Macaca mulatta: one gene and its partners. The protein of the gene in region 1 purifies or fractionates together with the protein of each later gene. This does not show direct contact. Links are inferred from orthologs where the notes say so. Each region holds a gene or a part of one and is shown in the gene's direction. Other genes may lie near its edges.

Evidence for each region.
Region 2: the proteins of DDB2 (region 1) and COPS7A purify together in Homo sapiens (affinity purification with mass spectrometry; 5 studies listed by BioGRID and IntAct, counting the BioPlex papers as one, with this or other methods). This does not show direct contact. The link is inferred for Macaca mulatta from reciprocal best matches to the Homo sapiens genes DDB2 and COPS7A.
Region 3: the proteins of DDB2 (region 1) and COPS5 purify together in Homo sapiens (affinity purification with mass spectrometry; 10 studies listed by BioGRID and IntAct, counting the BioPlex papers as one, with this or other methods). This does not show direct contact. The link is inferred for Macaca mulatta from reciprocal best matches to the Homo sapiens genes DDB2 and COPS5.

What each region holds. Positions count from the first base shown.
Region 1 is NC_133419.1:18,365,730-18,369,378, reverse strand, and holds part of DDB2 (DNA damage-binding protein 2), read left to right. Parts: intron 1-1,932; coding exon 1,933-2,078; intron 2,079-3,649.
Region 2 is NC_133416.1:7,678,842-7,682,983, forward strand, and holds the start of COPS7A (COP9 signalosome complex subunit 7a), read left to right. Parts: upstream 1-1,224; 5' UTR 1,225-1,345; exon of another isoform or gene 1,346-1,443; intron 1,444-1,805; 5' UTR 1,806-1,848; coding exon 1,849-2,010; intron 2,011-4,142.
Region 3 is NC_133413.1:77,749,582-77,753,230, reverse strand, and holds part of COPS5 (COP9 signalosome complex subunit 5), read left to right. Parts: intron 1-1,059; coding exon 1,060-1,188; intron 1,189-1,827; coding exon 1,828-1,893; intron 1,894-2,611; coding exon 2,612-2,697; intron 2,698-3,649. UniProt on the Homo sapiens protein: Probable protease subunit of the COP9 signalosome complex (CSN), a complex involved in various cellular and developmental processes.

The sequences.
Region 1 (3,649 bases):
ATCCCCCCCAAAAAACAGTGCCTAATACATAGTAAGCAATTAATAAGGTTAAGCCATTGATATTATCATGATTACTTTCATCATAATTTTCTGGGATGACTGGAAGAATAGGAAGGGGCACAGATCTGACTCTTGCCCTCCTAACTCCGCCACTGCTCTGAGCTGAAGCTCTTCTAAAGAGAGGACTGTGGGAATAGCAAATTAGGGCACATCCATAAAATGGAATAATACCTCAGCAATAAAATGAGATGAGCTTGTTGATAAAGCAAACTCAGATGAATCTCAGAGGCATGATGAGTGACATGAAACAAGACAGTCTCAAAAGGTTGCATACTGCCTAATTCATTTACATGACATTCTATTTTTAATTCTATTTTTAATTTAATTTTATTTTTAGAGACAGGATCTTGCTCTGTCACCCACGCTAGAGTGCAGTGATGCGATCACAACTCACTGCAGCCTCGACCTTCAGGGTTCCGTCATCCTCCCACCTCAGCCTTCTGAGGAGCTAGAACCACAGGCACCTACCACCATGTCTATATATATATATATGTGTGTGTGTGTGTGTGTGTGTGTATATATATATATATATATTTTTTTTTTTTTGTAGAGATGGGGGTTCTCCCTATATTGCTCAGGCTGGTCTTGAACTCCTGGCCTCAAGCAGTCCCCCCGCCTCAGTCTCCCAGGTGGTGGGATTACTGTGCCTGGTCTATTGGACATTCTATGAGGGCAAAACAATAGTGATGGAGAACAGATCAGCCAGGGGCTGGGGGCGAGGGGAGGGTGTGATTGCAATGGGATAGCACAATGGAGTTTTTGGGCTGTTGCAAATGTTCTGCATTTTGATTTGGGTGGTGGTTATTTAAATCTATACATATGTTAAAATTCAGAGAACTGTATACCCCAAATTTGCTATATGTTAATTAAAAAAAAGAAAGTAAAAATAAAGCCTTAAGAAATGAAGGGAGGCCAGACTTAGTGGCTCACGCCTATAATCCCAGCACTTTGGGAGGCTGAGGCTGGCGGATCACCTGAGGTCAGGAGTTCAAGACCAGCCTGGCCAACATGGTGAAACCCTGTCTCTTCTAAAAATACAAAATTTAGCCATGCGTGGTGGTGGGCACCTGTAATCCCAGCTGCTTGGGAGGCTGAGGCAGGAGAATCGCTTGAACCTGGAAGGCAGAGGTTGCAATGAGCTGGGATCACGCCATTGCACTCCAGCCTGGGTGACAGAGTGGGACTCCATCTCAAAAAAAAAAAAAAACAAAAAAAAGGAAAGGGAGGGAGGGAGGGAGGAAGAAAGAGAAAGAAAGAAAGGAAGAAAAAGAAAAGAAGGGGCCAGGCAAAGTGGCTCATGCCTATAATCTTAGCACTTTGAGAAGCCACGGTAGGAGGATCACTTGAGCTCAGGAGTTCGAGACCAGCCTGGGCACCACAATGAGACCCTGTCTCTACCAACAATTTTTTAAAAATTAGCACTTGTAATGCCAGCACTTAGGGAGGCCGAGGTGGGCAGATCGCTTGAACTCAAGAGTTCAAGACCAGCCTGGGCAACATGACAAAACCCCATCTTTAAAAAAAAAAAAAAAAATACAAAAATGAACTGGGCATGGTGTGTGCACCTGTAGTCCCAGCTACTTGGGAGGCTGAGGTAGGAGGATCGTTTGAGCCTGGGAGATTGAGGCTGCAGTGAGCCGTGTTCGTGCCACTGCACTTCAGCCTAAGTGACAGAGAAAGACCCTATTTCAAGGGAAAAGAAAAAGAAGTGAAGGCTCTGTGGAGAGCGTCCTAGTGTTTAGGTGTCCGAGCTGACCTGGCCCCACGCACTGCTCGTTGGTGCTTCCGTGACAGCGCAGCACGCGTGCCCAGGCCTGGTTCCTCACTGCCAGGCCCATCATCACTCACTGGCTTTTTCCTTCCTCATGTTAGATTGGAGCTGGAGGGAGCATCACTGGGCTGAAGTTTAACCCTCTCAATACCAACCAGTTTTACGCCTCCTCAATGGAGGGAACAACTAGGCTGCAAGACTTTAAAGGCAACATTCTACGAGTTTTTGCCAGCTCAGACACCATCAAGTGAGTAGTTTAACTAGGTGGGGAAAGGGCTTCTAAGCTTAGGTGTAGTTCCGGCAAGAGCATCCAGATCCCATTTCCTCAACCCAACCTGGCACAGGGAAGAAAGGAAAGATGTCAGCCACCTTCCGCCCTTCTTTCTCTTTCTCAAACTGTTCCTTGGCCACCCTCACTTTGGTCCAGGTGGGTTACTGCTTTGGGAAGGTGTTCTGGAGCCTCAGCTCTTCTGTAAGTCATACCTGTATTAGACTAGACCTGGACCTTCACTAGATAAGCCAGCATGGCATAGGCCCAGAAAGCCACCTAGAGAATGGAGCAGCAGCTAAGAACTTGAGACTGAATTCCCTGCACTCGCTGTGGTGTAATGACCTGAGCCGTTCCTGGGTGCAAGCTTACATGGATGGAATCTTGTCCATAAAGTGCTCTGAACTTCCCAAGAGAAAGTGGCTGGAGAAATTACAGAATGCAGCTGGGTGCAGTGGCTCATGCCTGGTGGGTGGATCACCTGAGGTCAGGAGTTCAAGACCAGCCTGGCCAACATGGTGAAACCCCATCTCTACTAACAATACAAAAAATGAGCCGGATGTGGTGGTAGGTGCCTGTAATTCCCAGCTACTTGGGAGGCTGAAGCAAGAGAGTAGCTTGAACCCAGGAGGCAGAGGTTGCAGTGAGCCGAGATTGCGCCACTGCACTCCAGCCTGGGCAACAAGAGTGAAATTCCATCTCCAAAAAAAAAAAAAAAAAAATTACAAAATACTCGTCACTTTGATTTCCAGCTAGAGCCGGGACTCTGACTGCTCCCTGAGGAATTAAGTGAGGGTGCTGGGGTGTAACTAGCATTGGATGGGATCCTGGGCTGTCCTGCAGGGATGAGGAGTGCATGCGCAATTCAGCAGGTGATTGGATAGACGAGGCTCCAGGCTCGTTTTCCGCAAGAAATCTTCTTGCTTGAAGATATTCATAAGGGATGGCAAAAGTCAGTGTAGCATGGATTTGAGGGTTTGAGAGAAAAACTGAGCTGAGCTCCTCTGGCTGGATAGCAGGATCCCTGAAGCACCCCTAGTCAGCCTCCCAGTCCAGTGGTTTGAGGGACCAGAAGAGCTCCTGGTTGTGTGTTTTTCCCTCAGTGTTCAGAAGGGGGCAGAAGTGCCTTTCCAGCCAGCTCTGAGGAACAGAGCAAGGCAATCCCTGTTTGGCTTGTGTCTCCTTTGGCCCAAAGGGTGGAGAGTGAAAGGAGAGAGCAGTAAAGGAGGATTGCTTAGAACCCGGGGTGTGGGGGCGGGCGTGCCCTGAGGCTTGCTTTATGGTTTGAGCTTTGTCTGCTTCAGAGACTCTTAGGAGCTGGGGATCCTGGGCCCAGCAGTAACCGGACAGATTTCTGAGCCCCATTACCCCATTCCCTCTGTCTGGACGGTAGAGCAGTCTGAATGTTCCTCGCTAGGAATCCACAGCAAGACAGTTATTCATTCATTCAACAAATATTTATTGAATGCCCACTGTGGGTTAGTCACTGGAGCAGCAACAGTGAGTAAACAGGCCTATCTCTGTCCCCAAGAATCTTACAACACAGTCTT
Region 2 (4,142 bases), on another chromosome or scaffold:
TTCAAAGTTTTAATATTTTATTATGCCTTTGATTCCTTCTCACTTTTGTTTCACCTTTTCCATTCATTTCTTCTTCTCCTCTTCCTCCTTTCCCTTTCCTTTCTGTGTTTCTGCTTATTTTCTATTACAAACCAAAATATGTGGACCATAAACTGCATCTGCAGTTCCTTTAGCCCTAACAGACTACGAGTTCTATTTCTCTTTATCTTTCTCTTTTTCACTTTCTTGTCTTTCCATTACTTATAAGTTTCTTAATTTTCCTGAGTCTCAGTTTTTCCATCTGGAAAGTGGAGATAACAATTACTAGATTGTTGTATCAGATGAATTAAGTAATGCTCGTAGCTTAACACAAAGGCCAAGATGTCATTAACTTTACCCTCACTTGACCTTCTGCAAGCCTGCTGTGAAATATAAAACACTATATAAATGTTAGTTGTTTTTGTTTTTATTAAAGTATGTTGAAGTAGAAAGATGGTTTTGAGTTTGAAAAGCTCCAGATAAATCCTTGGATTTTTATGAGTCTCAATTTCCTTTTCTGTAAAATGAGTAACATAGGGGTTTTTCCGCCCCAAGAAACTAAGAGTCCATGTACTGAAAGCATCATTCTACAAGTATTAATACATATATAGTAATCATGGTAGAGGGTGTCCTGAAGTCACACTGGGAATATTTGTGAGGATTCAACGGAATAAAATTTTAAAAGATGTCTGACCAATAGTAAGCACTCAATACATGTTAGCAATTATTATCTTTTACTCTTCTCACTTCTTTTCTCCTGCTCTTCAAAAAAGTGAGTGGTTGAACGACCTAGGTGATCTCTGCTGCTAAACTTCTATTATTGATTATTGTTTACTTCCTCTCTGCCCCTTACTCCCCCATCCCGTTTTTTTCCCGCTTCTTCACTCATTCCATTACAGCTTTTCTCTTGCCTCAGGCACCCAGGGCAGTCCTGATCTCCAGCTCTCCAGCGGCTTAGAACAAACACAGAGTCGGCCGAGACCAGGGGACCCGCCAAAGACGTCTGTGTTTAGTGGCTAGCGCTCTTCCACTAATAAAGTTTTATTGAAATACAGTATTTAAAAAGGCGCCCGTCATTCTTCCCCCGGCGACCAATCGGAGAGTAGAATGCTTGCGTCCCTCACTGGAGCTTCAGCGGTTGGAACGCGGGGGCGGGGCATGTCCTGCCGAAATTTGCGTCCTTAGAGCGGAAGTACGGCCGGAAGCCCGCCATAGAGTTTAGTGGCCAGAGCGACTCTTCAGGGAGGTGGCAGGAAAGGCTTGGAACAGCTGCCGGAGGTGACGGAGCGGCGGCCCCGCCCGGTGCGCTGGAGGGCGAAGCTTCCAGGTAGCGGCCCGCAGAGCCTGACCCAGGGTACGACGAAGCAGTCGGCGGGAGCCCACGGTCGCTGGGCGGTGTCTTTAAGGGAGGGGGCGGAGCCACGTGTAAGCTTCATTGGGGTGAGGTCACGTGGTTGTGGGCGCGTGCGGGGCAGGAGTGGAGAACTGAGGGAGCGTCGTCGTTAGTGTGGATACCATGCGACACCCCTTTCTCCGTTGCATCCTGTCTTAGGGTTCAGTGGCGGTGCACATGATGGGGCTTGGGGTTAGGCTCAGGGGAGGGGGTGGGTGTGGCAGCCTTGTGAAGTGGCTGACTAGGATTTGTAGATCAGAATTCTAGACCGCTCCATGTGTGATTCCTCACCGCAGAACCGACTTAGTACCTATACAATCCAGTCCTTCAGCCTTGTGCTTCCCATCCTACCAGCCATCGGGGATCTCTAGCTTCACATTCTCTTTCCTTGCAGCTCTGGACATCCTGAGCCCAGGTGCCCCCAGCTCAGTGCAGTCATGAGTGCGGAAGTGAAGGTGACAGGGCAGAACCAGGAGCAATTTCTGCTCCTAGCCAAGTCGGCCAAGGGGGCAGCGCTGGCCACACTCATCCATCAGGTGCTGGAGGCCCCTGGTGTCTACGTGTTTGGAGAACTGCTGGACATGCCCAATGTTAGAGAGGTGGGTTGCTGGCTTGAATAGTCCACAGAGAAGCATGGGCAAAGGTTTGAATTTGAGAATGGGTGGGCAGGGCTCAATTTGTGATCCCATACCATTCAGTTGAACAAGAAAACAGTGATGATTAAATGCCAACTTGCAAAAGTAACCAGTAAACAAGCAAACCAGCTTTCCTTTGGAGATAAAGGATCTGTAAAGTCCACTGTTTTTCATTTTAAGCAAAAGAGCATGTTATTCAGAATAGGAAATCTGATTTCCAGCCCGTCTCCACCAGCGTAATAGCTGTTAATTCTCATGTCACCTTGATCAGGTCACTTTTGTTTTAGGGCCTGAGCTCTCTTTTTTAAAAATGGAGACAATACTGCCCCCTCTGTTGTGGGAATAAAGTGAGATTATGGGAAAGTGTAAAGTCTGGTACAAGTGGGTAGTGAACATGTTAAATTAGCATGCCCTGTTCTTCCCTATGTGCAGCATATGCTAATCTGTTCAAGGTAGCTAAGGGAGAATGTGTCTTTTTCCCAAAGACACATGGCAAACACTAGGAACACAGCAGAGAGAACCATTCACACAAAAGTGGCAGAGTTAATTTACAGAGGAGGCAGCCTGAGTCCTGACATGCTGACAGTGATATGTGGGTAAACTGAGCTAAGTTATGTGGGGCCTGTGGTTTAACCTTTTGGATCACTCTGTGATATGGTGAAAACTGGCTGACTTTTCCCTGCTTTCATCTGCAGTGGAACTAAAGAGTATCCATCAAGGTGATGAAAAAGAAGCACTTGGCCTGGTGCAGTGGCTCACGCCTGTAATCCCAGCACTTTGGAAGGCCAAGGCAGGTGGATCACCTGAGGTCAGGAGGTGAAACCAATATGGCAGAACCCTGTCTCTATTAAAAATACAAACAGGGCTGGGTGCAGTGGCTCACGCCTGTAATCCCAGCACTTTGGGAGGCTGAGGCAGGCGGATCACAAGGTCAGGAGATCGAGACCATCCTGACGGTCTAACACGGTGAAACCCCATCTCTACTAAAAATACAAAAAATTAGCTGAGGCCGGGCGCAGTGGCTCAAGCCTGTAATCCCAGCACTTTGGGAGGCCGAGAGGGGCGGGTCACGAGGTCAGGAGATCGAGACCATCCTGGCTAACACGGTGAAACCCCGTCTCTACTAAAAAATACAAAAAACTAGCCGGGCGAGGTGGCCGGCGCCTGTAGTCCCAGCTACTCGGGAGGCTGAGGCAGGAGAATGGCGTAAACCCGGGAGGCGGAGCTTGCAGTGAGCTGAGATCCGCGCACTGCACTCCAGCCTGGGCGACAGAGCGAGACTCCGTCTCAAAAAAAAAAAAAAAGGCCGGGCGCGGTGGCTCAAACCTGTAATCCCAGCACTTTGGGAGGCCAAGACGGGCAGATCACGAGTTCAGGAGATCGAGACCATCCTAGCTAACACGGTGACACCCCGTCTCTACTAAAAATACAAAAAACTAGCCGGGCGAGGTGGCGGGCGCCTGTAGTCCCAGCTACTGGGGAGGCTGAGGCAGGAGAATGGCGTAAAAAAACCCGGGAGGCGGAGCTTGCAGTGAGCTGAGATCCGGGCACTGCACTCCAGCCTGGGCCACAGAGCTAGACTACGTCTCAAAAAAAAAAAAAAAAAAAATTAGCTGAGCATGGTGGCGGGCGCCTGTAGTTGTAGCTACTTGGGAGGCTAAGGCAGGAGGATGGCATGAACCCGGGAGGCGGAGGTTGCAGTGAGTTGAGATGGCGCCACTGCACTCCAGAGCAAGACTCTGTCCCAAAAAAAAAAAACCACAAAAAACAGGGCCGGGCTTGGTGGCTCATGCCTGTTCCCAGCACTTTGGGAGGCTGAGGTGGGTGGATCATGAGGTCAGGAGTTCAAGACCAGTCTGGCCAAGGTAGTGAAACCCTGTCTCTACTAAAAATACAAAAATTAGCTGGGCGTGGTGGCAGGCGCCTGTAATCCCAGCTACTTGGGAGGCCGAGGCAGGAGAATCACTTGAACCCGGGAGGCAGAGGTTGCAGTGAGCCGAGATTGCGCCACTGCACTCCAGCCTGGGCGACAGAGTGAGACTCTGTCTCAAAAAAAACAAACAAACAAACAAACAAAAAAGCTCATGTATCCCAGA
Region 3 (3,649 bases), on another chromosome or scaffold:
TTATCCCCTTTATAGGAAATGTTATATTTAAATTTTAATGATTTATATGTAAAATGTACGAGATTAAAAGCCTGATAAGATTTATAGCATGGTTTTTTGTTTTTGTTTTTTGTGTTTTTTTTTTTCAAGACAGGGACTCGCTCTGTTGCCCAGGCTAGAGTGCAGTGGCGTGATCTTGGCTCACTGCAACCTCCACCTCCTGGGCTCAAGCAATTCTCCCTCCTCAGCCTCCTGAGTAGCTGGGACTACAGGCGTGCACCAGTAGGCCTGGATAATTTTTGTATTTTTAGTAGAGATGGGTTTTGCCGTGTTGGCCTGACTGGTCTCAAACTCCTGACTTCAAGTGATCTGCCCACCTTGGCCTACCAAAGTGCTGGGATTACAGACATGAGCCACCATGCCCTTCCATAATTTTTGTATTTTTAGTAGAGACAGGTTTTCTCTGTGTTGGCCAGGACAGGAGTGTTGGCCACTCCTGTCCTCAAGTGATCCACCCACCTCAGCCTCCCAAAGTGCTGGGATTATAGGCATGAGCCACTGCACCCGGTCTATGGCATGGATTTTATTTTTTTTTAAATAAACTCTCACACTTATTACCAGATATGTGTTTAAAATAAAAAATTTGGAAACAATCTAACTCAGTTACTGAGTATAAAACTGGCTAAATAAATTATGGTATATTCCATCAGTGGACTGCCAGGCAGCCTTTAAAAGAAAAAAAGAAAAAAAGGTAACCGTCATGTATATTGATGACTTATGTGAAGCAAACTCCAAAGCAGTTTATTGAGTGAAAAAGCAAAGTGTAAAACATTATTATTGTTACGTGGTATGCTACTGTGTGTGTTTTTATCAATCTATATATATGCAAAGAATATGTATTCTGTATACAAAGAATATCTCTAAGGGTAAGCAATTGCCTATAGATTTCACATCTGGGCTGATAAAACTGGGTAATTGAGGAGAAAGAGATGGGAAGGAGACTGGTTACCTTTATTGTACTGGTACCTTATAAATTAATTAAAGAGTAATCTTAAACTTTTTTGCCCCTTCATTTGTTAGGTTGGCCGCCTTGAAAATGCAATCGGGTGGTATCATAGCCATCCTGGCTATGGCTGCTGGCTTTCTGGGATTGATGTTAGTACTCAGATGCTCAATCAGCAGTTCCAGGAACCATTTGTAGCAGTGGTGGTAAGAATTTTAAAACTAGTTTAATTAAGTTCTTTATGAAGATTTGCTGAAGCAAGTATAATGAGAAATAATAACAGTGTAGTAAAGAGAAATTGCTCTGGTGTCAGTCTGCCTAGGTTTCAATGTGAATTCCATCTCCTAGAAGCTGAGACTTTGAGCAAGTGTTTTTAACCACTGTGTATCTCACTTCCCCCCTCTATAAAATGTGGATAGTCATAGCATCTATGTCTCAGTGCCAGCTCATCATAGGCATTCAATCAGTGTTGACTGATCTGAGATAAGCAGGAATTGCTAGAGCAGCTCTTATTATGTTCAGGGTGTTTTAAGTGCAATCCAGTTTTATGAGGAAGGTAGGAATTATTCATCTCTTAAAAGGAAAAAAGAAAACTTTAAAAAGAGATGAGCAAACCTTCAAATGATATTCTTAAATATTATAATAATTCTAATCTCTAAGTTAGCTGTGAGACACTTATATTACCCTCTTACTGAACTTCTTTGGTTTTTTGGTTTGTTTATTCTTATTTGGTTATTGTGTATGTATATAGTGTTATATGTATGTATACATTTCTAGGTTAATAATGTTTCAATAAAAGGCATACAGTTTTATATCAGTAAATATTAAATATATCTTTCTTATAGATTGATCCAACAAGAACAATATCTGCAGGGAAAGTGAATCTTGGCGCCTTTAGGACATACCCAAAGGTAACTTTTTTTTTTTTTTAAGAGATAGATAGAGTCTCACTGTGTTACCTAGGCTGGAGTACAGTGGCTATTCACAGGCATGATCATAGTGTACTACAGCCTTCATCTCCTAGGCTCAAGCCAACTCAGCCTCCCAAGTAGATGGGACTGTAGGAATGCTTAGTAATTTTTAAAATTATAAGTCCTTACATGTTTTAAATTCCAAATATTTGACTTATTATTAAAGACATTAGCAATATCTCTTTTTGTTAAAACAATTTAATAATATTTACAAAATAGTAAACTACCACAAGCTGTCCCTAGCAAAGGGTAATACATTTATGTTATATATTGTTAATTTTACTGGGAAAGCAGTCTTTAATAACCATCTGTGTGCCTGTGGCATTCTGACAGGTACTAGAGAAAAAACGAGCTAAATCTATAGGTCTGTTTCCTTCCCTGGCAGGAGCCTGCAATCTAAAATAGTTAATTAGAACAAAAGTACATCACCTAAGGAGAAGAAAAATAAATCTGTAAGCAAAATCCAGCCTATAGCCACCAAACAGGGTAGGGGGAAAGTAGAAACAGTATTTTTTTTTTTATTATTAGAATGCTCATGTTAAGTATTTGCCTCCCAAAATTAATAATCCTGTAATTAGAAAGCTGCATAGAAAACATGATGTTTTTCTCGTTTATATATATATATTTTTAATCTTCTGTTTGCCTCATTTTTGTTTAGGGCTACAAACCTCCTGATGAAGGACCTTCTGAGTACCAGACTATCCCACTTAATAAAATAGAAGATTTTGGTGTACACTGCAAACAGTAAGTAATTTAAAAAGATATCTGGGCCAGGCATGGTGACTCACACCTATAATCCCAGCACTTTGGGAAGCCAAAGTGAGAGAATTGCTTGAGGACAGGAATTCAACACTAGCCTGGGCAACATAGTGAGACCCCATCTCTACAAAACATGTTATAAAAGTTAGCCAGATGAGGTGGCACAGTCCTATAGTCCCAGCACTCAGGAGGCTGAAAGAAACCATAGATATCAACCAGTCCAAGGCCCTTTTTTACAGATGAGAAAAAAAGCACAAAATACATTTCATGATAGCTTTTACAATAATAGTATATGAATTTAGGTGAATGTTTGCATTTTTTAATTTTTTTTTTTTGCATTTTTTATTAATGTTTCAAACTAGCATGTCATTTGCCTTTTACACAACCTAAACATTTTTTCAATGTACAAGATACTTGGCCTATATAAAATTATGACAAGATAAAGATGGGTTCAGGGCCAGCTGACACTAGCATGTCTGCAGCCCTCAAAATATATAATTTCTACTGAACAAAGATTCTTTCTAATCTTTGAAAGATTTGAAAGATTAAAGAAGCCATATTAAAAAGTTAAAGTTATAAAGTATAAGAATTCTTACTAAAAACCACTGTATTACATACCTTCCCCCACGACCCACAAGACATAGTCTTGCTCTGTTGCCCATGCTGGAGTGCAGTAGCATGATCTTGGCTTACTGCAACCTCCACCACCTGGGTCCAAGCAATTCTCTTGCCTCAACATCCCAAGTAGCTGGGATTACAGGCGCATGCCACCACACCCAGCTAATTTTTGTATTTTTAGTAGAAACAGGGTTTCACCATGTCGGCCAGGCTGGTCTCAAACTCCTTACCTCGTGATCCACCTGCCTTGGCCTCCCAAAGTGCTGGGATTACAGGTGTGAGCCATCATGCCCAGCCTACATACTTTTTTTAATGGTGA